2 linked regions of the Saccharomyces cerevisiae S288C genome follow. The protein of the gene in region 1 interacts with the protein of each later gene in a biochemical or structural test. Each region holds a gene or a part of one and is shown on either strand. Other genes may lie near its edges.

The links.
Region 2: the proteins of OCA1 (region 1) and PKH3 form a complex in vitro, tested with the Saccharomyces cerevisiae proteins (one large-scale study listed by BioGRID).

Annotation. Positions count from the first base shown.
Region 1 is NC_001146.8:438,067-449,304, reverse strand, and holds OCA1 (putative tyrosine protein phosphatase OCA1), read left to right. Parts: upstream 1-10,021; coding exon 10,022-10,738; downstream 10,739-11,238. Other genes in the region: phosphatidate phosphatase APP1, read right to left, coding at 1-1,694; YNL095C (uncharacterized protein), read left to right, coding at 2,465-4,393; 40S ribosomal protein eS7 RPS7B, read left to right, coding at 4,990-5,133, 5,479-5,907; PHO23 (Pho23p), read left to right, coding at 6,947-7,939; PLS1 (Pls1p), read left to right, coding at 8,386-8,508; Ras family GTPase RAS2, read left to right, coding at 8,735-9,703; MIC27 (Mic27p), read right to left, coding at 10,988-11,238.
Region 2 is NC_001136.10:1,385,364-1,398,685, forward strand, and holds PKH3 (protein kinase PKH3), read left to right. Parts: upstream 1-9,757; coding exon 9,758-12,454; downstream 12,455-13,322. Other genes in the region: CMI8 (Cmi8p), read right to left, coding at 161-403; mitochondrial 54S ribosomal protein mL40 MRPL28, read left to right, coding at 710-1,153; STP1 (Stp1p), read left to right, coding at 1,453-3,012; SPP41 (Spp41p), read left to right, coding at 3,509-7,816; RMT2 (protein-arginine N5-methyltransferase), read right to left, coding at 7,973-9,211; TLG1 (Tlg1p), read right to left, coding at 12,663-13,322. UniProt on the Saccharomyces cerevisiae protein: Serine/threonine-protein kinase which may phosphorylate the same targets substrates as PKH1 and PKH2, 2 upstream activators of PKC1.

The sequences.
Region 1 (11,238 bases):
ATCAATGTGGTGTCTTGATTGCTCAATTTTTGAATTGAGTCCATTACTCTTCTCTTCCATTCATCTGCTTTTTTATCCATGAAAGCACCATACATGCCATAGTCATTTTGTGAGGATGGTACATAGTAAGTATTAGCGTCTAAGTTAGGTAACTGTCTGTTCGGCAACGGTGGTGGGGCAACTCTTTTAGCATTGTTCTCATCTTTATTACGGCGTGACATTCTTATACTTTCGGTTTGCTCTTCTGTCAACGATGGCTTTTGAGTGGAAGGAATGGGAGGTGGTGGTGGTCTTCTCCTGGTACGTACGGTAGACTTGGTCATTTGCATGGGCCGTTGTTGTAATTCGATGATATTGTTCACTTCATTCATAACTTCTTCATCATGCGATGGGACATCACTCATGGAATTAGAGCAACATCTTATATAAATAGCCAGAATCTGGTTCGGAAATTGTAAAGCCGTAGTGGTATACGCTTCTAAGTCATGTTCACCAGAATCACCGACCAAAATAAATTTTTTTTTGGGAAAATCCTTTAAGATATTTGCAATCGGCTGAATTTTTCTATTCGCACTTGAAGTCATGATAGTGGAAAAGAAATTACCAGAGTATTGTTTCAAAAAAATTGGACCCGGAGGAAAATTGGCGCAAATATATTGTTTCAAAAGAGTAAAAGTTTGGATGGGTGAATTAGAAACATAAAAGAAATCAACGTCTGCGACATCATGTAAAGTTTTGTACCAAAGAGGAACACCATCTATTACCCACGATTGAACATCATGGATGAAAACATTACGAAACATCGATCTCCTGTCACCCGTAACGCCAGTATGCTTGATGGTGTCGTCAATATCACTGATTAAACCAATACCGTAGGGCGAGACATAATTGGCCGGAAATGTTTCAGATATGGGATCTGCATGGCCTTCTATAGGGGTATCTAATGTAATATTAATCTTGGACGGTAAAAAATCTGTTTCTGCCTTGATTAGTAAATTACCATAAGAGTCCGTGGTACCAAAAAAGGAAGCCGTATCCCCTCTGAGCTTATCTTTGGGCAATAGGTCAACCACCACTGGAGTATTAGGAACTTTTTTGGACAGGAATCCTTGAATTCTCTCATTCAGAACATCTTCCTCTTGGATGCCCATATGTGAATACCTATTTTCGCTCTTTGAAGACAAAGAACTTTCTATACTTGATTGGGAGTCGTTTAAATCTCCAGAATCCTCTTCGAGATGAGGGGGAACAACAGGTGCAACATCGGCCTCCGCCGTTCCAGTTCTAAGATATTGTTTACAAAGAGAAAGCAACCACCTATTTCTCCTGCTTGTAGGATTTCCTGGATAAGAAACAGCACATCTGACAGTAGTTTCAAAATCTTTCCGAGGCGCACTCAAACCGTCAGGGTCAACCAAATTAGTTGTGGTATACGTTGGAAAATATGTTATCGTGGTATTATGTGGCAATTCCATAGGCAAGTCATTATAACCTTCGAAGGAATTCGTAGTGCTCCTGATGCCATCCATTGTCTTTTGAGAAATGGATGACGTCAGGTTAGGAATATAAACATCCTTTGTGGTTCTTATGAGATTCATAAACCGTTGTTTCTTACCCATTCGTGGGTCTCCAGAAGTAGGACCGCTAGTAGCAGCAGTAGAGGAAGAGCTTTCATCGTAACCTTGACTATTCATCTTTTTATTCCTTCTCCAAAGCAATTTTTTCCCCCTTTGACGGAACTTATAGCCAAGTTTCAATGTCCTTGTCTGTGTTAATGGTCCCAAGAAAAGACGGCGATTACTAGACAAACTCTTTATAGCCAACAAACCGACAGAGCTAGAGAAACATATGACACTGTTTATTGAAAGCCTTGTGCAACCCACTATTTGCGATATATATGCCTTAATGATGCTAAATTTTTGCCCTGGATCACGAATAGTATAACAGCTTCGTATACTTTATGTCTCGTGGGCATAAAAAGCCAAGAAAAGATACACAAACCAATCACAATGAACAAGCTAACCGTAAAGGCGTTGCCACCCTATTCTAATGCTTTATCTGTCCGAGAATTGTTGGTAACCTCGTTTGGAAAGTTAGACCGCGCCCTCATCATCATTTGCGCGACCACGTGACCCGCTGCGGCTGCGGTTTGCGCGAAGGTTACAATATCTTCCTACTCGATGACTTTTAACCTTTGGATCAAGAGCACAACGTTCTGCCTGAACTCTTATGCTCATTTTGTGCATACAAGTTGCCTTTTTGTGCCATATTAGGATATATTGCCTTCTGAATAAAACTATTCAATTCTCATCACTTCCGCAGTTAGAGAACGCTTTTATGGCATATTGTTACAAATCATCGCTAAAAAAGATATAAACAGTGACTAATTAGCGTCAGCGCAATTTTTTTGGAGAAGTTATAGAATCAAACAGAGAAAGGGATTGAAACCTCAAATTTTCATCAGATGGTGCACATTACTCTGGGTCAAGCGATATGGGTGTCAGTTAAGCCGATAATCAAGATTTATTTGATTATAGGAGTCGGCTTTCTGATGGCTAAAATGGGAATTCTTACGGTTGAAGCAACAAGAATTATTTCTGATATCGTGCTAACAGTTTTACTACCCTCTCTGTCATTCAACAAGATTGTCGCTAATATTGAAGATAAAGACATCAAATCTGTGGGAATTATCTGTCTGTCTGCCCTCCTAATATTTGGTTCTGGGTTCTTTTTTGCATACGTTGTTAGGCTATTCCTGCCTGTTCCTAAACAATGGTACGGTGGTATTCTTGCCGGTGGTATGTTTCCAAATATAAGTGATTTACCAATTGCATATTTACAATCTATGGACCAAGGGCTTGTATTTTCGGAAGAAGAAGGTAACAAAGGTGTGGCTAACGTCATTATATTTCTGACAATGTTTCTAATTTGCATTTTCAATTTGGGGGGGTTTCGACTGATTGAAAGCGATTTCGAGTACAACGACGATGAAAGCGCCGTTAGGGTTTCAGAAACGACAAAGACACAGCCCGCAGTAAGTGCAAACACAACTAATACAGATACTAGCGAGCGTTTCTTCTCAAACGAACAACAGCTTTTCAACAATAAGTACACCGCTCGCGATAGTCTCACTGAAGCTATAGGTACAAAGGGTGAAAACGCAGACGTACCACCAATTTCAAGGAGATCAACAAATAGTATAGCTCCCCTGTCACTACCAGACACTTCTTCGAATTCAAAGATTACAAAACCAGTTCAGGTGAAGGCAAGAAATACTATTGCGTGCACTCAAAGCGAAGAGTCACAGGCAACTCGTGGTTCAAATCCATTAGATAGCCAATCATCTGCTTCAACAATACATTCTTATAATACGTCAGAGAGTTATGAGAGTAGCATAGATACTATGAGAGCACGTAGAACCGCGAGCCAGCCGAGAGCTTACAATACTACCACACTCCTAGAAGAGAACTGTTTAGATGAAAAATGCCCAAAAAATATGTCTATGGCGGCATTGGAACCTATCCGCTCCATTGATATGCGTGCATTACCTTCTCAAAATATACACCATCTTATCAGAGAGTACTCCAACGTTGACCAGTATGGTCATCAAAGGAGGAATTCCAGTTTACGCGGCGCTGATATGAATGATGTGCATTCAATTAGCTCAAATTCCACTTTACAGACTATAAAAACTGCTAACCTAACCAGGATCTTAACATCAGATGCCACTGTAAGTAAAAAGGATATTGAAACATCCGGCGAATCATTACCACAGTGGATGAGAAAATTTTCATTAACTCCATTACTTGTGTTTTTCCTAAAGAATTGTTTGAGACCGTGCTCTATGGCCGTGATCATCGCCCTAACTGTTGCATTTATCCCATGGGTCAAGGCTTTGTTCGTGACTACCGCTAATACTCCTCACATAAGCCAAGCTCCTGACAATGCACCACCATTAAGCTTTTTCATGGATTTTACAGGTTATGTCGGTGCCGCATGTGTTCCATTTGGGTTGATATTATTAGGAGCAACTTTAGGAAGATTAAAGATTGGCAACCTTTATCCTGGATTTTGGAAAGCCGCTGTGACACTCGTCATTTTGAGACAATGTGTCATGCCAATTTTTGGTGTCCTATGGTGTGATCGGTTAGTGAAAGCTGGATGGGTTAATTGGCAAGATGATAGAATGCTACTATTTGTTATAGCAATCAGCTGGAACTTGCCAACGATGACTACCCTTATATATTTCACCGCCAGTTTTACGCCGCCAGAAACAACTGCGCCAATCCAAATGGAGTGTGTTTCATTTTTCTTAATGCTGCAATACCCGCTAATGGTTGTTAGCTTGCCATTTTTAGTGTCTTACTTTCTGAAAGTACAGATGAACCTTTAGTTTTAATCCATTAAACAAAAAATTATTACCACTCCTAATCACTGTTTTAGGGTGGGTTAAAATTAACATTCTCCATTTTTATATAGAACTAATAAAAAACACCTACTTATAGACACGACCAAACTTTCCACAACCTTTCATCAGAGAGAAATGTTGATCAAGTTGAATGCGTGAAAGTAGCAATTCGAAACAACAACTACCTGTCATTCTGCATAGTAGTAGTTACGAAAGGCACAGAAAATAACAAAAAAAAAAAAAAAGTCAATTTTCTACGGTCTCCATCCGTACCTCTTTAAATCCGTACATTATTGTTTTGCTTAATTTCAATATTTCGGAAAAAGCGAGCGCCCTGGTAAAATGTGGTTCAAGCCTGCGAGCCTTTGCTTGGTAACTCACCAAATGCAATTCAGTCACGTTCCACACAGTTTGGGTTTCCAGCCTGGCTTTAGGGAAGAATGGGCTCACTAGGCGTTCATAATACGCGGAGGGGGAAATACCAAATGCTATTGATTATGGTTAAAATATGTGTTATTTGACTTTGTATATACAAACAGAAGAGAAACCAACACACTAAAGACTAGACACATAACTGACCAATGTCCTCTGTCCAATCCAAGATCTTATCCCAAGCTCCAAGTGAGTTGGAATTACAAGTCGCCAAGACCTTCATCGATCTAGAAAGCTCCTCTCCAGAACTAAAGGCTGACTTGAGACCATTGCAAATCAAATCTATCAGAGAAGTATGTTAAAAGTTATATAATTTGGAAGCAGCAACATTGTGATTTCTTCTAAAGGGGTTCTTTGCAGTAATTTTTTCAAAAAAGAGTGATTTTGAGCAGTATCTGTATGAAATTTTCATGTGTTCGAGAAAAATAGTAATTCCGAGAGCTGTCAATACCATGAACGTTGCGATGAGCCTTTGAACTATAAAGGCCTCCTTGGTCAGTACCAATATCGATGAATAAAATAGAAGCACGCGAAAAAGACCTTACCCCAAGGAGAAGAATCACAAACCCTTTTTTGTTATGAATGAACCAATTCAGTTACTAACTTTATTTCAACGCTGCTTGATTCTTATTGTTTAGATTGATGTCACCGGTGGTAAGAAAGCACTAGTCCTTTTTGTCCCAGTTCCAGCTTTGTCTGCATACCATAAGGTCCAAACCAAATTGACCCGTGAATTGGAAAAGAAATTCCCTGACCGTCATGTTATTTTCTTGGCTGAAAGAAGAATCTTGCCAAAACCATCTAGAACATCTAGACAAGTCCAAAAGAGACCAAGATCCAGAACTTTGACTGCTGTTCACGACAAGGTTTTGGAAGACATGGTTTTCCCAACTGAAATTGTCGGTAAAAGAGTTAGATATTTGGTTGGTGGTAACAAGATCCAAAAGGTTTTGTTAGACTCCAAGGATGTTCAACAAATCGACTACAAGTTGGAATCTTTCCAAGCTGTCTACAACAAGTTGACTGGCAAACAAATTGTTTTTGAAATTCCAAGCCAGACCAACTAAATAGTGAGATAACTATCATTCTCATCATTTGTCATACTTAAAGAAAATAATATTAAGAAAAAATAATAAAAAAAGAAACATAGTTATGAGAATACAAAAGGAGGTTTCCAAAAAGTGGGCTTTTTTAATTCGAGTAAAATAATTATGAATGTATACTTAAATATATTTTGTATCTGTCAATATAGAGATGCTTTAATTGGTGTTTTGACATTTTGGAATACATATTGGGTTGATTTCCCAAGTTCTCGCTGCAATCAGATAAAAAGGAAAAAAAATAATGGTTGCTAAGAGATTCGAACTCTTGCATCTTACGATACCTGAGTATTCCCACAGTTAACTGCGGTCAAGATATTTCTTGAATCAGGCGCCTTAGACCGCTCGGCCAAACAACCACTTATTTGTTGAAGAAAAAGCATTATTTATCGCTAGACAACGATACGTCCATCAACAACCGTTAGTTCTTTCACATTGATATGCGGATTACTTATCTGAAGGAAAGGAAAAAGGCGTGGAACAAGTGAGCATTAACATAACCATCTGAAATCTTAGATGATCCCAAGTATGTGTAATTAGATCCGCCTCTTCGCCCAGCACATTGTCCATGCATTATCTGCTTACCTCTACGCGTACCTTGACATGGCGTGTTACGTGTTTCAACTTTGTATAATCAGAATTTCATTTGAGTATATTTTACAAGTCAAAAGCCCAAATGACGTATACTTGAAATAATTGAGGCACGTCCAATTGTGAGTGGCAAACCTTTTTTTCGGTATTCTAGATAGAGCTAATCGCGTATTTGCAATTATAGTTTACAATTCTTAGACGATTTCCGAAGAAAGTTAAAAATGCCCTTGAAAAAAAAATATGTAGGAAAGAGTGCATGCACATGAAGAAGAAAGAAAGAGCTAGGGAAAAAACGAAAAAGGAGCCTAAGGAAAAGAGTTAGGCGTTTACAACAGGACGAACCCGGAAGGAGAAAAGTTTGTAGTCTTGCAGTATCACAAACAGCAACCACGTTCATAGTCTGAAATACGTACAAATGAGTTCACCAGCGAACCTATTCCCTGGATTAAACGACATAACTGACGTGCTGGAGGAATTCCCACTGGCCACCTCCAGATATTTAACATTACTACACGAAATAGATGCAAAATGTGTGCATTCTATGCCGAATTTGAACGAGAGGATAGATAAGTTCTTGAAGAAAGACTTCAATAAAGATCACCAAACACAAGTAAGACTGCTCAATAATATCAACAAGATTTATGAAGAACTGATGCCATCGCTGGAGGAGAAAATGCATGTCTCATCCATTATGCTGGATAATCTAGACAGATTGACGTCCCGGTTAGAATTGGCGTATGAAGTCGCAATCAAGAACACAGAAATTCCTAGAGGTTTAAGACTGGGTGTGGACAACCATCCAGCAATGCACCTCCATCATGAACTAATGGAAAAAATAGAGAGCAAATCAAACAGCAAATCGTCGCAGGCACTGAAGAGCGAATCAAGAAGAGAAGCCATGGCTGCCAACAGGAGGCAGGGCGAACATTACTCCGCCAGCACACACCAACAAGACGACTCAAAGAACGACGCAAACTACGGAGGCAGCAGGCACGAGAGCCAAGACCACACTGGTAACAACACAAACTCAAGAAAAAGAGCCAACGCTGCCAATACCAACAACGCCGATCCAGAGACCAAAAAACGCAAGAGGAGAGTTGCCACCACAGCCGTTTCACCAAGCACTATCAGCACGGCAACTGCCGTCAATAATGGCAGGATAGGTACATCTACAGCGTCCAGGGGAGTTAGCAGCGTCGGAAACAGCAACAACAGCAGGATATCAAGACCAAAAACCAACGACTACGGCGAACCGCTCTACTGCTACTGTAACCAAGTGGCATACGGGGAAATGGTGGGGTGTGATGGCGCAGACTGTGAGCTAGAATGGTTCCATTTGCCATGTATTGGACTCGAAACTCTACCTAAGGGCAAGTGGTATTGCGACGACTGCAAAAAAAAACTGTGAAATAGCTCTCGGGCGAATATCGCCTTAAGGAAATATCTACTAAATACCGAATATATACATATATATATATCTTAGCTACATATATATATATCTTAGCGTTTTAACGGGCGTGGCCGTATCAATGGATCTGCAAGATACTTGGGCCCTACCGGTCTAGATAAAATATTCAAATCGATGGTGATGACGGCACGATAAAACGTAATAAATGATGAAATGACTTGTCACGGCGTAGCAGCGCCAGCAGCTCAGTCTAATCGCCGTACAGTGGGTGGTGTGGCTAATCGCTTAGGCTTTTTATTCAGAAGGACCTTTTCATTCACCTCGCCCCCCTTGGAGGTTCCTGCCTGACCCCTTTGCCCCTGGCCTCGCCCCTGCGCCATGTCTCTGCCTGGAGCGTGACATTTAGGACGGTGAAGCTAGGCAGGCCTTCAGAAATTAAACGGAACATGACAGCAAAGACGAAACAAAGCTGGAATAAGGGGATCTGGGAAAACGGGAAACAAGGTTCACATCAGCAAACATTTCTACCGAAAATCTGGGTAAACATTTATAGTACCCCAACATCTTAAGTTTTAGCCGTTGTCTTCTCTTATCGCCTAGAATCGCTCATTTCAAGCGTAACGCAATCCGGCTTTTGTTTTTTTTCCATTTTATTCATCCACTCTTTATCTGACTCTTCTGCACTATATTAATCAACTAGGAGAAAATTACTTGAGCAGAAAGATACGAGAGAATTACGGATAAAAAAACCAAGTTAACCGTTTTCGAATTGAAAGGAGATATACAGAAAAAAAAATGCCTTTGAACAAGTCGAACATAAGAGAGTACAAGCTAGTCGTCGTTGGTGGTGGTGGTGTTGGTAAATCTGCTTTGACCATACAATTGACCCAATCGCACTTTGTAGATGAATACGATCCCACAATTGAGGATTCATACAGGAAGCAAGTGGTGATTGATGATGAAGTGTCTATATTGGACATTTTGGATACTGCAGGGCAGGAAGAATACTCTGCTATGAGGGAACAATACATGCGCAACGGCGAAGGATTCCTATTGGTTTACTCTATAACGTCCAAGTCGTCTCTTGATGAGCTTATGACTTACTATCAACAGATATTGAGAGTCAAAGATACCGACTATGTTCCAATTGTGGTTGTTGGTAACAAATCTGATTTAGAAAACGAAAAACAGGTCTCTTACCAGGACGGGTTGAACATGGCAAAGCAAATGAACGCTCCTTTCTTGGAGACATCTGCTAAGCAAGCAATCAACGTGGAAGAGGCGTTTTACACTCTAGCACGTTTAGTTAGAGACGAAGGCGGCAAGTACAACAAGACTTTGACGGAAAATGACAACTCCAAGCAAACTTCTCAAGATACAAAAGGGAGCGGTGCCAACTCTGTGCCTAGAAATAGCGGTGGCCACAGGAAGATGAGCAATGCTGCCAACGGTAAAAATGTGAACAGTAGCACAACTGTCGTGAATGCCAGGAATGCAAGCATAGAGAGTAAGACAGGGTTGGCAGGCAACCAGGCGACAAATGGTAAGACACAAACTGATCGCACCAATATAGACAATTCCACGGGCCAAGCTGGTCAGGCCAACGCTCAAAGCGCTAATACGGTTAATAATCGTGTAAATAATAATAGTAAGGCCGGTCAAGTTTCAAATGCTAAACAGGCTAGGAAGCAGCAAGCTGCACCCGGCGGTAACACCAGTGAAGCCTCCAAGAGCGGATCGGGTGGCTGTTGTATTATAAGTTAATAAAAAGGAAATAGTTGTAGAAACGCTAAGACGAAAAGAACTCTATAAAGTTGAAACGAGTACACACATTTATAAATATATACAAAAGTAAATAAAAAAGTGACTGTTTTTATATTGCTTATTGCCATTTGCTATTTCCGTTTCATTCTTGTTAACATTGGAAACTTTGGGCAATATCATATGGTTGCCGGGTAAAGGAAAAAACAAACAACATCGCTATAACATAAAATTGGACATTGCAGAGAGTCATCAATCACATCCATTTTCACAAGAAAGAGGTGTTCCACCTGGAATAACAAGCTTCTCTTTCCCCTTAGAATGACATCTAAAGTTGGTGAATATGAGGACGTTCCAGAGGATGAGTCCCGCCTCACAGAAGAGAACGTATCCGTACCTGAAGAAGAAGTAGAAGACGAAGACGAGGAAGAAGACGACGATGATGATCATATATATATCAATGAAGAAACAGAATCTGGTCGCGAAAAGGTCTTGGTATCACATGCCCCACAAGAACGTATCGTTCCACCTTTGAATTTCTGTCCCGTTGAAAGATACCTCTATAGATCTGGTCAGCCTTCACCTGTGAATTTCCCCTTTTTACTAAACCTAAAACTGAAAACAATTATATGGCTGTCTAACGAAGAACCTCAAGATACCCTCCTAGAGTTTTGTGATACTCATAGAATAAACTTACAATTCGCAGCCATCAACCCGGATGCCGGTGAGGACGATAATCCATGGGACGGTCTCACTGAACATTCTATAATTAATGTACTACAAACGATCGTCACTCAAGAGAATTATCCCTTGCTAGTGTGCTGTGGTATGGGAAGACATAGGACTGGGACAGTCATTGGATGTCTCAGAAGAATAATGGGTTGGAACTTAGCCAGTGTATCCGAAGAATATAGACGCTTTACTGGTAGCAGAGGTGGTAGAATTCTTGTAGAGTTGCTTATAGAAGCTTTCGACACTAATTTAGTAAAAATAGACAAAAATAAAGCACCAAGTTGGTTACTGACAGCTTTGGAGTAGAGGCAAGAAAAAAAAAATGCAAAAGATAAAGAAAAAGCACTGAGCTTTATGACCATTTACCTAAAGTTTGAAATGTTTCAGGATGCACGGCCCATTCGCGAACCAACTTCTAAAGATCACACGAAATGAAATTCAAAATAAATGAAATTTATTTAATGGGTAATTTTATAGAATATTAATTATCCGATTTATATATGGACATACTTACTATGGACATGATAATGAACAAAAAAAGATATCCGCTTGATATCATGCTTGCTCCAACTTTTCATAAAGCTGTTCCCTTGCATACCTTATATTTTTTTGTAATGTCTGATCGATTTGACGTTTTAAATCACATTTCTTGGCAACATATCCTTCCTCATAAATTCGTTTCCAAGTATTGTGATATGACTTGACGAAATCAGCTGGCAGTAAATCATTTTCAGTGGCATTGACCAAATTCTGTGATGTCTGTGGAGCCCAATACTTGAATGTAGCTGCTGCCAATACCCATGGTA
Region 2 (13,322 bases), on another chromosome or scaffold:
TATTTCTTTTTAGACCTAATAATAAATATCCTAAGTAACTATATTATATAAAATATTTTGATACCCTGTACCTGCTTTTGTTATCGTTGTACATCCATGCACACGCTCATATATATATATATATATATATATATGTATATGTACATATACCGCTTACCACCTACCGTGAAGTATATGTAAGGGTCTTCGCACCCGGATATCCCTTGTGGGATCTTGGATGCGGATGGTGAGTGTAAACAGGCCTCATAAAGCTGTCTCTGTGTGCGGAAGATGTCGTTTCATCGGCTTCGACCTCCTCCTTATCTTGCTTCATTGTTTCTTCGTAAGAGGGCGGATCTACGGGCAGCGGGGTCGCTGTCTCCTTGTATGCATGCTTATTTATATCACTCTTTCCGCTATCCATCATAATCTGTTTTTGTTTATGTGCTTTGAATACTCAACACATAAAATAATATCCAGTTAATTGTCGTCTGTCCATTGACGCTTTGCCTTTGTCCCTTTAGACTGTCTTTATTGTGAAATATGCACGGCTGAGAATTACGTATACAGTGACTATCGTATGGGGCGACAAAAGTTCCCAGCGAGAAACAAGATGAAGCAGACTGGGGCCTGCCTGTATGGAGGGAAGCATAAGTTAATATACCTCCAGATATTTGCAGATTAGGATACTGAACTGACGAAGACCTACGCTACACAACGAAGATAACACATGCTGGCACAAACATTCAAAAAACCACACAGAGCCGTTCTAGAACAGGTATCTGGGACCACGGTCTTCATCAGAAATAAGAGAACAAAGAGCAAGAGCTCACTGTCACCTTTGGCACAAAGGGTCGTCACGCAGTTGAGTGTGATGTCTGCAAGCAGAAAGCAGCCCAAGTTGCTGAAGCTGGCGCGTGAAGACCTGATTAAACATCAGACCATTGAGAAGTGTTGGTCAATTTATCAGCAGCAACAACGGGAGCGCAGAAATTTACAGTTGGAATTACAATATAAGAGCATTGAGAGATCTATGAACCTTCTACAAGAACTCAGCCCTCGTCTGTTTGAGGCTGCCAATGCTTCCGAGAAGGGCAAGCGATTCCCGATGGAAATGAAGGTGCCCACTGACTTCCCCCCAAATACGTTATGGCATTATAACTTCCGAAAATGATAGCGTGAGCGAACGCTTGACTGTCTCCTGCTGTAAATAACTGATGATCAATAGAATGCCACGTATATATGGACTTATATAATTATATGTACATAGACATATAAAGGGCATGTGGTAATTATGACATGAACTGTATCACTATTGACGTTTTTTTTACTGCTTTTTCCCATCCCTGCAAGCGAAAAAAAAAGCAAGCTGACTCTTGTATAAACTGCAAGGACTCATTGATTAAAAGTAGATTTACATTACAGACTAAAGGAAAAGGCAAACTATACCGGCTATACCACATTCGTTCAAAAATGCCCTCTACCACGCTACTGTTTCCGCAGAAACATATTAGGGCCATTCCAGGCAAGATATACGCGTTCTTCAGAGAGCTCGTCAGCGGAGTTATTATATCCAAGCCAGATCTAAGTCATCATTATTCTTGTGAAAATGCGACAAAGGAGGAAGGCAAAGATGCAGCAGATGAAGAAAAGACTACCACAAGTTTGTTTCCCGAATCAAATAATATAGACCGTTCTTTAAATGGTGGCTGCTCTGTGATCCCTTGCTCCATGGATGTCAGCGATTTGAACACGCCAATATCGATCACACTATCTCCTGAGAATCGTATCAAATCAGAAGTAAATGCCAAGTCACTGCTCGGATCAAGGCCAGAACAAGATACAGGCGCCCCTATCAAAATGTCTACTGGTGTCACAAGCTCTCCATTAAGTCCATCAGGCTCCACCCCAGAACATTCCACCAAGGTCTTGAACAACGGCGAAGAGGAGTTCATTTGTCACTACTGTGACGCTACTTTCAGGATTAGAGGATATCTAACGAGACATATTAAGAAGCACGCCATCGAAAAGGCGTATCACTGTCCATTTTTTAACAGTGCCACTCCTCCTGATCTTAGATGCCACAATTCGGGTGGTTTTAGCAGACGCGATACTTATAAAACTCATTTGAAGGCAAGGCACGTGCTGTACCCCAAAGGTGTTAAACCACAAGACCGTAACAAGTCGTCCGGCCATTGCGCTCAATGTGGTGAATACTTTTCCACCATTGAAAATTTCGTTGAGAATCACATTGAGTCTGGGGACTGTAAAGCTTTACCGCAGGGGTATACCAAGAAAAATGAAAAAAGATCTGGAAAATTAAGGAAGATCAAGACATCTAATGGTCATTCTAGATTCATATCCACTTCGCAAAGTGTTGTAGAACCTAAAGTACTTTTCAACAAGGATGCCGTAGAGGCTATGACCATAGTGGCTAATAACAGTTCGGGCAATGATATTATATCCAAGTACGGAAACAACAAATTAATGTTAAACTCGGAAAACTTTAAAGTCGACATACCCAAGAGAAAGAGAAAATATATCAAGAAAAAGCAGCAACAGGTATCTGGATCGACGGTAACCACACCAGAGGTAGCTACACAAAACAATCAAGAAGTGGCACCTGATGAAATCTCATCCGCCACAATTTTTTCACCTTTTGATACTCATCTACTCGAGCCCGTCCCTTCTAGTTCATCGGAATCTTCCGCTGAAGTTATGTTCCATGGCAAGCAAATGAAGAATTTTTTGATTGACATAAACAGCTTCACAAATCAACAGCAGCAGGCACAAGATAATCCTTCGTTCCTGCCACTCGATATTGAACAATCTTCATATGATTTGAGCGAAGACGCAATGTCATATCCCATCATATCCACACAAAGCAACCGTGATTGCACGCAGTATGATAACACAAAAATCTCACAAATCTTACAATCACAACTAAATCCAGAATATCTCAGCGAAAATCACATGAGAGAGACACAACAATATTTGAATTTTTACAATGACAACTTTGGGTCACAATTTTGATTAAATATAACACGGGATAAAAATAAGGGTATCATATTGGAAAGCCGATGGGTAAAAATTATTGAGTTAATAAATGGAGACAATATTAAAAATCAGGTAACAACAAATAAAAGGTTATAAATGTACTGCTGTATACTATATAAAAACTTTTAGCATGACTAATTAATTTTCATACTACTATGTTAAATAAACCAAGTGATTGCAACACCAATATTTTATTATTGATCTTCAGCGCATAGAGTCGATTCGTAGATATTATCACTTTTGACGTTTGTGATTTCTTTTTCATGATTGATTACCGATGATGCTATAACAAATAAAGGTCAAATTTTGAAAACAATGAAAAATAAGTAGTAAACAAATAAATGCACATTTATTGACACTAGTAGAGTGTAAGAGGAAAGTAATTTTTAGAACGCTTTATACACCTCTATCATTTATTTTTTTTTTGGTAAAAAAAAAACAGTAAGGTGTTAACCATATATCATATTCTGCCATGGCTTATGATGAAGATGATGGAGAGATAAATTTTAATGAACTTGTGGGGAACTTACTAAGCTCACATAACCAAGAGGGACAAGAGGAAGGAGAAGTGCAAGGAGGAGAACAGGAAGGAGATGATTTTGAAAAAATATATCCTACCAGTGAAAATATAGAACCAAAGCATCCAGATGACAGCCAGCATATGCATAATTCTCCTGACCAGAATATCGAAATACCACATTTTGTCGACGAAGAAGATGAGCTAGTATCTGTCGTTGCAAATGCGGTTCAAAATATAGACGATGAGCAAGCCAAACCGGAAAATCATCTGGAAAATGGATCAGAACATGTAACATCGGATACAGCGGATGATAATCACGAAAAAGAACAACAGCAAGAATGGGCTCATATCTTACAGCAGGAAATATTAAAATCAGACGGAGAGCCCTTGCGGGAGAATACAGAAAGGCGTGTAAGCACTAGTCAGCACCATCCCTCTCAGCGTACTGATGACGCTCTCGACCAAGATGATGAAAATTTGAGGATGGCTATCCTAGAGTCTCTACAAGAATTAAACACAAATGAGGAGGAAGAGAAAGAGCCGGAAAAACATGAGCATGCTGCCCCGAATGATAAGTTGAGCAGCAAAAAATCTTCAAAGAAAAAGAAAAAAGATAAATCCAAGAACAGAGAATCATCAAAGGATAAATCCTCAAAGAAGAGTAAATCTTCGAGCCATTCCAAAAAGCATGCCAAAGACCGTAATAAAGAAAAGCAAAGTAAACCTACTAATAATGAAAATACCCTTGATTTAAGTAATATACTAGAAAATCTGATTCATGAAAATGACAATGCTGCAATAGACACTGCCAAACAAACAGTTGATATTCAAGATAACTCCCATACTGATAATACAAACAACGAAGATGTGGAAGCGCAAGCTTTAGTGGAAGCGACACTAAAAGCATTTGAAAACGAGCTGCTAAGCTCTGCGCCAACCGAGGAGCCTTCACAAGAACAGTCGATTGGGCCTGTATCTTCTAGAAAAGCAGTTGAACCACCACGAAAACCGACTGCAGACGATATTCCATTGGCTATGTTACAGGCTTTTAAACCGAAAAAGAGGCCTCCTCAAGAGAAGAAAAAAACAAAAAGTAAGACATCCAAGGCTGCATCTACAGCAAATAAATCACCTGCATCTGAATCTACCTCCAAGAAAAAGAAAAAGAAGAAAACTGTAAAGGAAAGTAATAAATCTCAAGAAGCTTACGAAGATGATGAATTTTCCAGAATATTAGCCGATATGGTTAACCAAGTGGTTAACACTTCATTAAAAGAAACATCAACGCATACTGCCACACAGGATAATAAATTAGAAAGCGAAAGTGATTTTACTTCCCCTGTACAAAGTCAATATACTACTGAGGATGCAAGCACAGCTAATGATGACTCGCTTGACTTGAATCAAATCATGCAAAACGCAATGGCTATGGTTTTTCAAAATCAAAACGACGATGAATTTGATGAGAACATTGTTGAAGACTTTAATCGTGGTTTAGGCGATCTGAGTGTTTCCGATTTACTGCCGCATGATAACCTTTCTAGGATGGAAAAGAAATCGGTGCCTAAAAGTTCGAGCAAATCTGAAAAGAAAACAGCTATATCTAGGAGAGCTTCCAAAAAGGCATCTAGAGATGCCTCAAGTGTAGAATTGACTGAAGTACCTTCAAAACCGAAGAAACCTTCCAAGACAGAAGTATCTTTAGAAAAGAAGTTACGCAAAAAATACGTCTCTATTGCCAACGAGGCTGCATCTGTGGCTAGAAAGAAAAGATGGGCTAAAAACAAAGAACTAAAGGAGAAAGAGAAACTTGAACGCCAAACTGCCAGAGAGGAAAGGAGACATAAAAAAAAACTAGAGAAGCAGAGGTTGGCTGAAGAACAAGAGGAACTGAAAAAAATTGTTGAACGAGGTCCACCTTATCCCCCAGATTTAAGACTAACTAAAAGCGGTAAACCAAAAAAACCATACAGAAGATGGACTCCGGAAGAGCTACTGAAACGATCACAGGAAGCTGAAAAACCGAGGAAGGTGAAAAAGGAAAGAAAGAAAAAGGAAAAGAAAATGAAGGTACCTTCATCTGCTTTGAAGAAAATTCCTCTCTTCAACTTTGTAAAGGGTAATGTTCAGCCAAGTGCAAGACATCGTCTGAATGACATTGAAGGTTCGCTATCCACTATTGGATTACATAAATCGCCTGACGGTGTCCGCAGGATTCTTTCGAGACCAAAGAGTGAAGATCACGAATGGCCCCTATCAGATTCATCTGCATCTCAAAATTACGATGCACACCTAAAAACTGTAGTGCATAAAGAAAAAATTCCTTTCCATCCCCCATGGACTATACCGTCTCAACCACCATTTGCACTACCCGTAGCTAGAAGAAAGAAAATACCAAATATCAAAAAGTATAGAAAGAGAACCAATAATTCTTTTCGTGTCTCCAAAGAAGGTACGGCAAGTACTAGGAACAGAATTTTACCGGCCATATTACTACCGATAATAAATACATTAAAAGCTGCTGCAAAATCGCAAACAGCTGCTGGCGCCACACCTGAGGAGGCAAGGAAACGGCTGGCAACCATTATTCAACATGCCAAGTCTACAGTTATTAGGGCAGCTTTACAAGCAAGGAAAAACAGTATGCAAGCCGCTCATTCTAAGGGAACTACCACAGAACTGGCAACAACTGCGTCTCGAATGAAGAATCCGCTGAAAATGATTCCTATTTTCAATACATCTCGAGTGAAACAACAATTAGACAAACAATTACCGGCCAGAAGTGCAGGAACAGAAATCAGCAGCTCTGAATCCCCTGATAAAGCCACGCCCGATCCCCACTCTAATTCTACAATCGCTGGGCATACTTTAAAGGGCGTTACTACGCCAATTAAAATAGAAGACAGCGATGCGAATGTTCCTCCTGTTAGTATAGCGGTTTCAACTATAGAACCATCACAAGATAAACTAGAACTTACGAAGAGGGCAGAGAGCGTAGAACCTGTGGAAAATAATGTTGAAACAGCGAAAGAAACCCAAAGCGTACAAGAAATTAAGGAGAATGTCGGTACCAAGGCTTCTGAGGAAGTTACTCTAACTGAAGACAAGACAAATGGGGATCCAAAAAATGAAAAGAGGATATTAATTGAATCTCCTGTCGAAAAAACGGATAAAAAGAAGCCAGGTGAGAAAATTGCTACAGATTTGAATGAAGATGCGAGCCTGTCTGATAAGAAAGATGGAGATGAAAAGTCTACATTGCATTCTGATGCAGCCCAACTTACGGGTAATGAACCAGACAGTGTAAACACGACAACAGGAAAGCCCAAATTAATTGATGTTTCTCTCAAACCGTTAAATGAAGCAAAACCAAAAATTCCCATCATATTTCCCTTAAAAAGACCGCAAATTAAGCCTGAAGTTAGCGTTATTAATTTAGTTCAAAATTTGGTAAATACCAAAATACCCGAAATAAAGAATGAATCCGTTGATTTGGGAAGTAATATCACCGACATTCTTTCCTCTACTATCACTAATATTCTGCCCGAAATCACAGCCACTGATGTTAAAAACTACCAGTATGAAGATGAAAACGTAAAATACCTGAAAAAAACACCAAGACAGGTTTTGAATTTGGATGGACTAGTGCCTCCATCGGGTAGATGTATTACCAAAGCTAAACGTGTCCGCCGCATTAAAAAGCTTTCTGCTGACGCCACTACCGCACCGGAAGCCGATGGAAAGGCAAACAGCGAATCCATTACTTACACATTCGATATACCATCTCCAGAAGAGGTACAAAGTAAGCGTAGTGTAGTCCTAAAATTTGCCAAGGCTAGATTGACCGAGGCGGAGTTGAGTTGTCTAAAGAAGGAGATTAACAATGTGAGGAAACGGAGATGGAGAGAGATGAACTCCACCAAGAACTGGGAATATGACGTAAAGTCTAGATTAAAAAAGCGTGCGAACGCATTTTTTGGGGAAGGAGAATCAGAAACGAAGTCTAAATGGATCGAAGAAAGATTTCAAGAAAAGGTAAGTCAAGAAAAGTACAAGGATCGCCTTGAAACTACTGAGACGCAAGCAAACAACACGAAGATTGTGATTGACGACAAGGAGATTTTGAATATTCTTGCGGTAAACATGAATAACCTTAACAAAGCACGCTGTATTGAAAAAGATATTCAAGAGTCGTTCAGGGAGGAGAAGTTAGCCTCTTTACAACCAAAGAAGAAGAGAAAGAAAAGCATTTTACACTGAGGTGTTACTAGACATAATTTAGTTCATATGTCCATTTCTGCATAATCATATATACTTAAAGTAGCAAATGTATATAGTTTTTTCTTCCGATTTTCGAAACTAATATTAGTATTGGAAATCGGCCCCTGCCATTGTGCAATTTACATTATTCTATAATTAAGCAAACGTGATACGTGGATGGTAATAATAGTTACAGTTAAAGTAAGACCGCTTAACATCATTCCAATCTGGCAATTGCTCGTCAAGAGAATATCTGGTGTAATCGCATTTCATACCATATGTAGCAACATCGATCTCAACAATTTCTTTATATACATCGTAACACAACGATCTGTCAGCGCCTAATCCGTTGAAAAATGAGAAAACGCCTTCTGGTTTAATTAAACCTACCACGACATCGTATAAGTCCAATATGTCTTGGTAGTGCTCGCTAAATGTATCATAATAAATACCATCAAAGAAAACTTCACCTTTGTCTAATAAATTATTCAACGTATCTTGCCATCTTCCCTCTAAAATAACCACATTATCCTTTTCATACCAACCATCCATTTTCATCTTGGCCAAAACATCTGGATGAGCTTCGCAAATATAGTGACGATATGGTTTTCGAGCTTGGATGAATGTATCGATGATCCCCATTCCAAATCCAATGTTTAAGATCGTAGCAGAATTAGTGGCCTCTGGATCAGGAAATAAGGTTTCGGAAGCAAGTTCCATAATCTTGGTTTCCCAATCCATCATAACACCGTCCTTATTTTCCTTTGTGATAAGCGCATCGTCTTTGTACTCTAGTTCTGTTTTTAAGTACACTTGTTGATTTGCCGCGGTAGCATCGTCATCACTACCAACTGATTCTTCTTTTTGACCATCAACTGCTGTTTGAACGCTTTCCTCAGGCTCGATACCTATTAGTTCATCTGTATCCAAGAATTCGACGTCGCCACCATTGAGTTTTCTCAGTAATAATTCAGCAGACACACCAGCTTCCACGAGCCGTCTATAAAGAGGGCTCTCCCTACTTTGATTTCTCTCTAAAAACAAATCACCCACTGTTTTGTCCTCGTAGTCAATAAAATTCCATCCAGCCCCATACTCAAAAAGAATATTCATCATATCCATCACCACTTGCAGTTCCTCATCCTTGATATCCAAGGGTAGCGATCTTGCTAAAACGTGTAACGGCGTTGTGTTTGAGGTTTTATTGTCGTCAGTGCTCTCTCTGAATTCCTTATCCCCGTTCCTGTTCTTTTCCTCATGCTCGAAGGCTGCGACCTGCTCCAAAGTATATGTAGCCGGTATACCAGATTTTAAGAAATGCTGCAGTTTTGGTACATAGTAACTTTGAGAAATGGGCCTCTCTGGGAAAGTAAGCAAAGCATGTAATTCTGACATACTTGAATATATTAAAAGTCCTTGGTGTAAACACCTAGCCGTTGCAACTGCTGGGTATTGTCAATGTCATTTTGCTTTACGCTTAGCTTAAAATGAGATGAGATGAGCTTTGAAAAATTTTAGAAAAAGAAAGGTGCCATCGATTCTCGCCGAAAAAGGAAAAGAATCGTTATAATCCTTCGAATCCTATATACACTAAACAAATATCTGCATTGGTCAACCCCAAGCACACGTACTGATGACTAGAGATGATACTGAAAGTGTTAACAATATAACTTCCTTACTCGCAGCTAATGTCACATATTGAGGTAACAATGGATCGAAACAATTTTCATGCTTACCCGCGCGGTGATTTCTTGGTAGCGAAGGGGTTTTCATGAAGGCAGCAGAAGAGAGGTACATTGATTTGAAAGTGTGAGGAAACAGAATAATAGTGCCTAAAGCCTAACCCAAGCAAGTAAGCAGTTCTTCCACGTCTTATCTATTCAGAGGCTGAAACAATTGAGTGAAAATTTAAAGAGTAGGTGTGGGACATTGGTATGACATATGACGTCTAGGAAAAGGTCTCCGCACGATTTCATATTTAAAGAGGAACTGGGCCATGGCTCTTACTCTACTGTGTTTAAAGCTCTAGATAAAAAAAGCCCGAATAAAATTTATGCCATTAAAGTTTGTTCGAAGAAACACATAATCAAAGAAGCTAAGGTAAAATATGTCACCATTGAAAAGAATACCATGAATTTGTTGGCACAAAAGCATCACGCGGGTATAATCAAACTATACTATACTTTTCACGATGAGGAAAATCTTTATTTTGTTTTGGATTTTGCCCCAGGTGGAGAACTACTTTCCTTATTGCACAAAATGGGTACTTTCAATGATATATGGACGCGTCATTTCACTGCACAGTTAATTGATGCATTAGAATTTATCCATTCACATGGCATCATTCATAGAGACTTAAAACCGGAAAACGTCCTTTTAGACAGGGATGGTAGACTTATGATTACTGATTTTGGGGCCGCTGCCACCATAGACCCTAGTTTAAGCGGAGATTCGGCCAAGTTTAACTCTGACAGCAACGGCTCAAAAGACAACCAAAATTGCGCTTCCTTTGTTGGTACTGCCGAATATGTCTCTCCAGAGCTGCTTTTATACAACCAATGCGGTTATGGCTCAGATATATGGGCACTAGGTTGCATGATATATCAGTTTGTCCAAGGACAACCGCCGTTTAGAGGGGAGAATGAGCTGAAGACATTTGAAAAAATCGTAGCATTAGATTATCCATGGGGACCCAATAACCGCATCAATAATAGCACATCACCAATAAATCCCCTTGTAATAAACTTAGTACAAAAAATATTGGTGATAGAGGTCAATGAGAGAATCTCTCTCGAACAGATAAAAAGACACCCATATTTTTCAAAAGTAGATTGGAATGATAAAATCAAAATATGGAGAGGAATCTGGCAATCACAAGGACAATCGCTGCAACAAACTACTTTGGGACTCCCAAATATACCGCAGAATATACTACCCACCAGACAATTACATGTAATTGACACTCCAGCACGAAGTATACAAATCACAAAACAAAAACGTAAGAAACCAACGAAAATTTCCAACACTACTAGTAGCATAGTAGTATGGAGAAAAAGGCTTGGTATATCAACAGGTAAGGATGATTTAGGCACCGTACCGTCCACTACGCCTGCAGTGACCGCCCCTAATGATACCAATGTATTAACAAATACGGCGGCACATTCTACTGCAAATATTGCCTTACCGCCTAATTCACAATCCAATCAAGTCAAGCGAGCACAACTAGTTGCACCAAATAGAATACCTCCCAAAGTACCGGTAATTAATGACAACGTGAGAAATAAGTCAATTCCGCGCACAAAGCCTAATGTGCCACCTTTGCAAACATCATCAATACCACAAAAGTTGTCAACATCGTCAGCATCGTCAGCTCTATCGGCGCCGTCAACAGAGATAAGGAACCAGGACTTAACACACACTTTAGATGGAAGAAACTCAATTGATATTCATGTTTTAAAACAAGACTACGTCTTCATTTATGGCATTCCATATGAACACGAAGGGCCTGCTATGTCTTTGAACAGCTACAATAAGATCGATAATGATTTAATTACGTCACTAGTTGCGCAGCATAAAGAAGAATTAAAAAACTCAGAGTCGTTTTTACAGGTATTGACTTTGAAGAAGAGCGGAATGTTAAGTTACAAAAACACAGTTATGGAGGGAAATGATGATCAAGAAAACAAAGAACACCAGATGGCTAATATAGAAGATACAGACTTGTCCATGTACGATTTTGAATTCAATGAGTTGACAAGGAAGGGTTTTTTAATCCTGGAAAAATATAAGAATAGAATATGGTTTATCTCGCTACCTTCATATTCAACGTTATCCAAAATACCATTCAATGCCGTGAAGTCTTCGACAATAAATAACAATGAAAATTGGGTCGATTGCTTTTTCAGAGCAAGACAACTACTAGAAGAAAAGCAAATTCTTGATAAAATCAGTAACGTTTCCTTTGATAGTAAGGCATCGAGTGAACCATCATCACCTCCGCCTATTTCAAGAAAAGAGCGGCCTCTGAGTATAGGAAATAATGTAACAACACTCAGCTATACTGCAAAAAATGGAAGCCAGAACAATGCACCACAAAACGATAATGTTGGAGAAGAAAAACCTTTTCGCATACCTAGTAGTACCAAGGATAGGCCCGGTGCAAATTCCACTCCTTCTTCAAGACATCCTAGGGTTTTGTCAAGCAATAACGCTGGTGAAACTCCGAAAAAAATGAATGGAAGATTACCAAATAGTGCACCTTCTACCAATACATATACCAACGGTTCGGTCCCAGCTTTTAATCATAGGCCTTCTACTAATGTAGGGAACAATAAGCATAATATTTTAACTTCGAAGAAGCAGGGATCATCCGTATTTTCTCCTTCATCTTCTACGACCAAGCCTCAAATCAAAACAACAGGATATCGACAGCCAACACCTTCACCTCCACTTCCGCAAATGGAATTCCCAACTACGAGAGAAAAGTATTCTGCTCCTTCTAACATGGTGATCAGTAGCAGCAGATACGAGGTCTTACATACCCTTAATAACAGCCAAACAAACTTTGATAGGGAAATTGCTAGTAGGGGTGCCTCAGCAGCATTTAGAAGTTTACAGAAGAGTAAGAAAAAAAAATAACACGCTTTAATAATATTTGTGGTTCCTCTACTTCGAAACAAAAAAATATGCACGAGTTGTTGACGATCCAGAAAAACCAACATATAAATCATATCCAAACCCTTGTAGCATTAATATCCGTATCACTTATGTATTCAGAATGCATGTATTTTATATATGCCCAGTATATCTTCGATTGAAGCTCTTCGGCATTAGTGCATTGTATTTTTCAAGCAATGAATGCCAAAACTAATAAAACTATCAAGACGACAATAAGAAGTCCTATACAACAATCGTCGTATTTTTCTTTATTTTTTTCGTAGACCCATTCCAATTGCCTACGACCTCTAGCCAGCTTATTTACAACACCGTCCATACCCTCGTCCATATTATCCAACAATTGTCCCTGGTTCTCTAATTCATCCCCCATTGTTTGAGCTTGAATATGCAAATTTTGCATTGTCTTGTGAATACCATCTAAATGAACATCTTGTTCTCTTAACATTTGTTCCTGAAACGGATTGGACATACCACCATCATTGTTCTCAGCCATGCTGGTGTTAAGTGTTGAATTTTCCACCGTCTCTTCTAGAGGAATAGTTGTTTGAGTAGATTCCTGTATTCTTCGATCAAAACGCAACTTCAGAGCATCAAGTTGCTGTTTTATATTTTTAACTTGTGCTTCCCTACCACTCACGTCTTCGTTTTCATCCCTTTTCATTACGATTATGCTTCTGTCCAAATCAACTATTGTTTCCTCAACATCCTTTAAAATATCTTGTATTTCCTCCTCTTGATCGTCATCACCAGCAGTATTGTGACGAGTTATGTAATTGTTTATGCGGTTCAATTGCTCCTTGGTGTCCTTAACAACTTGTTGAAACGGATC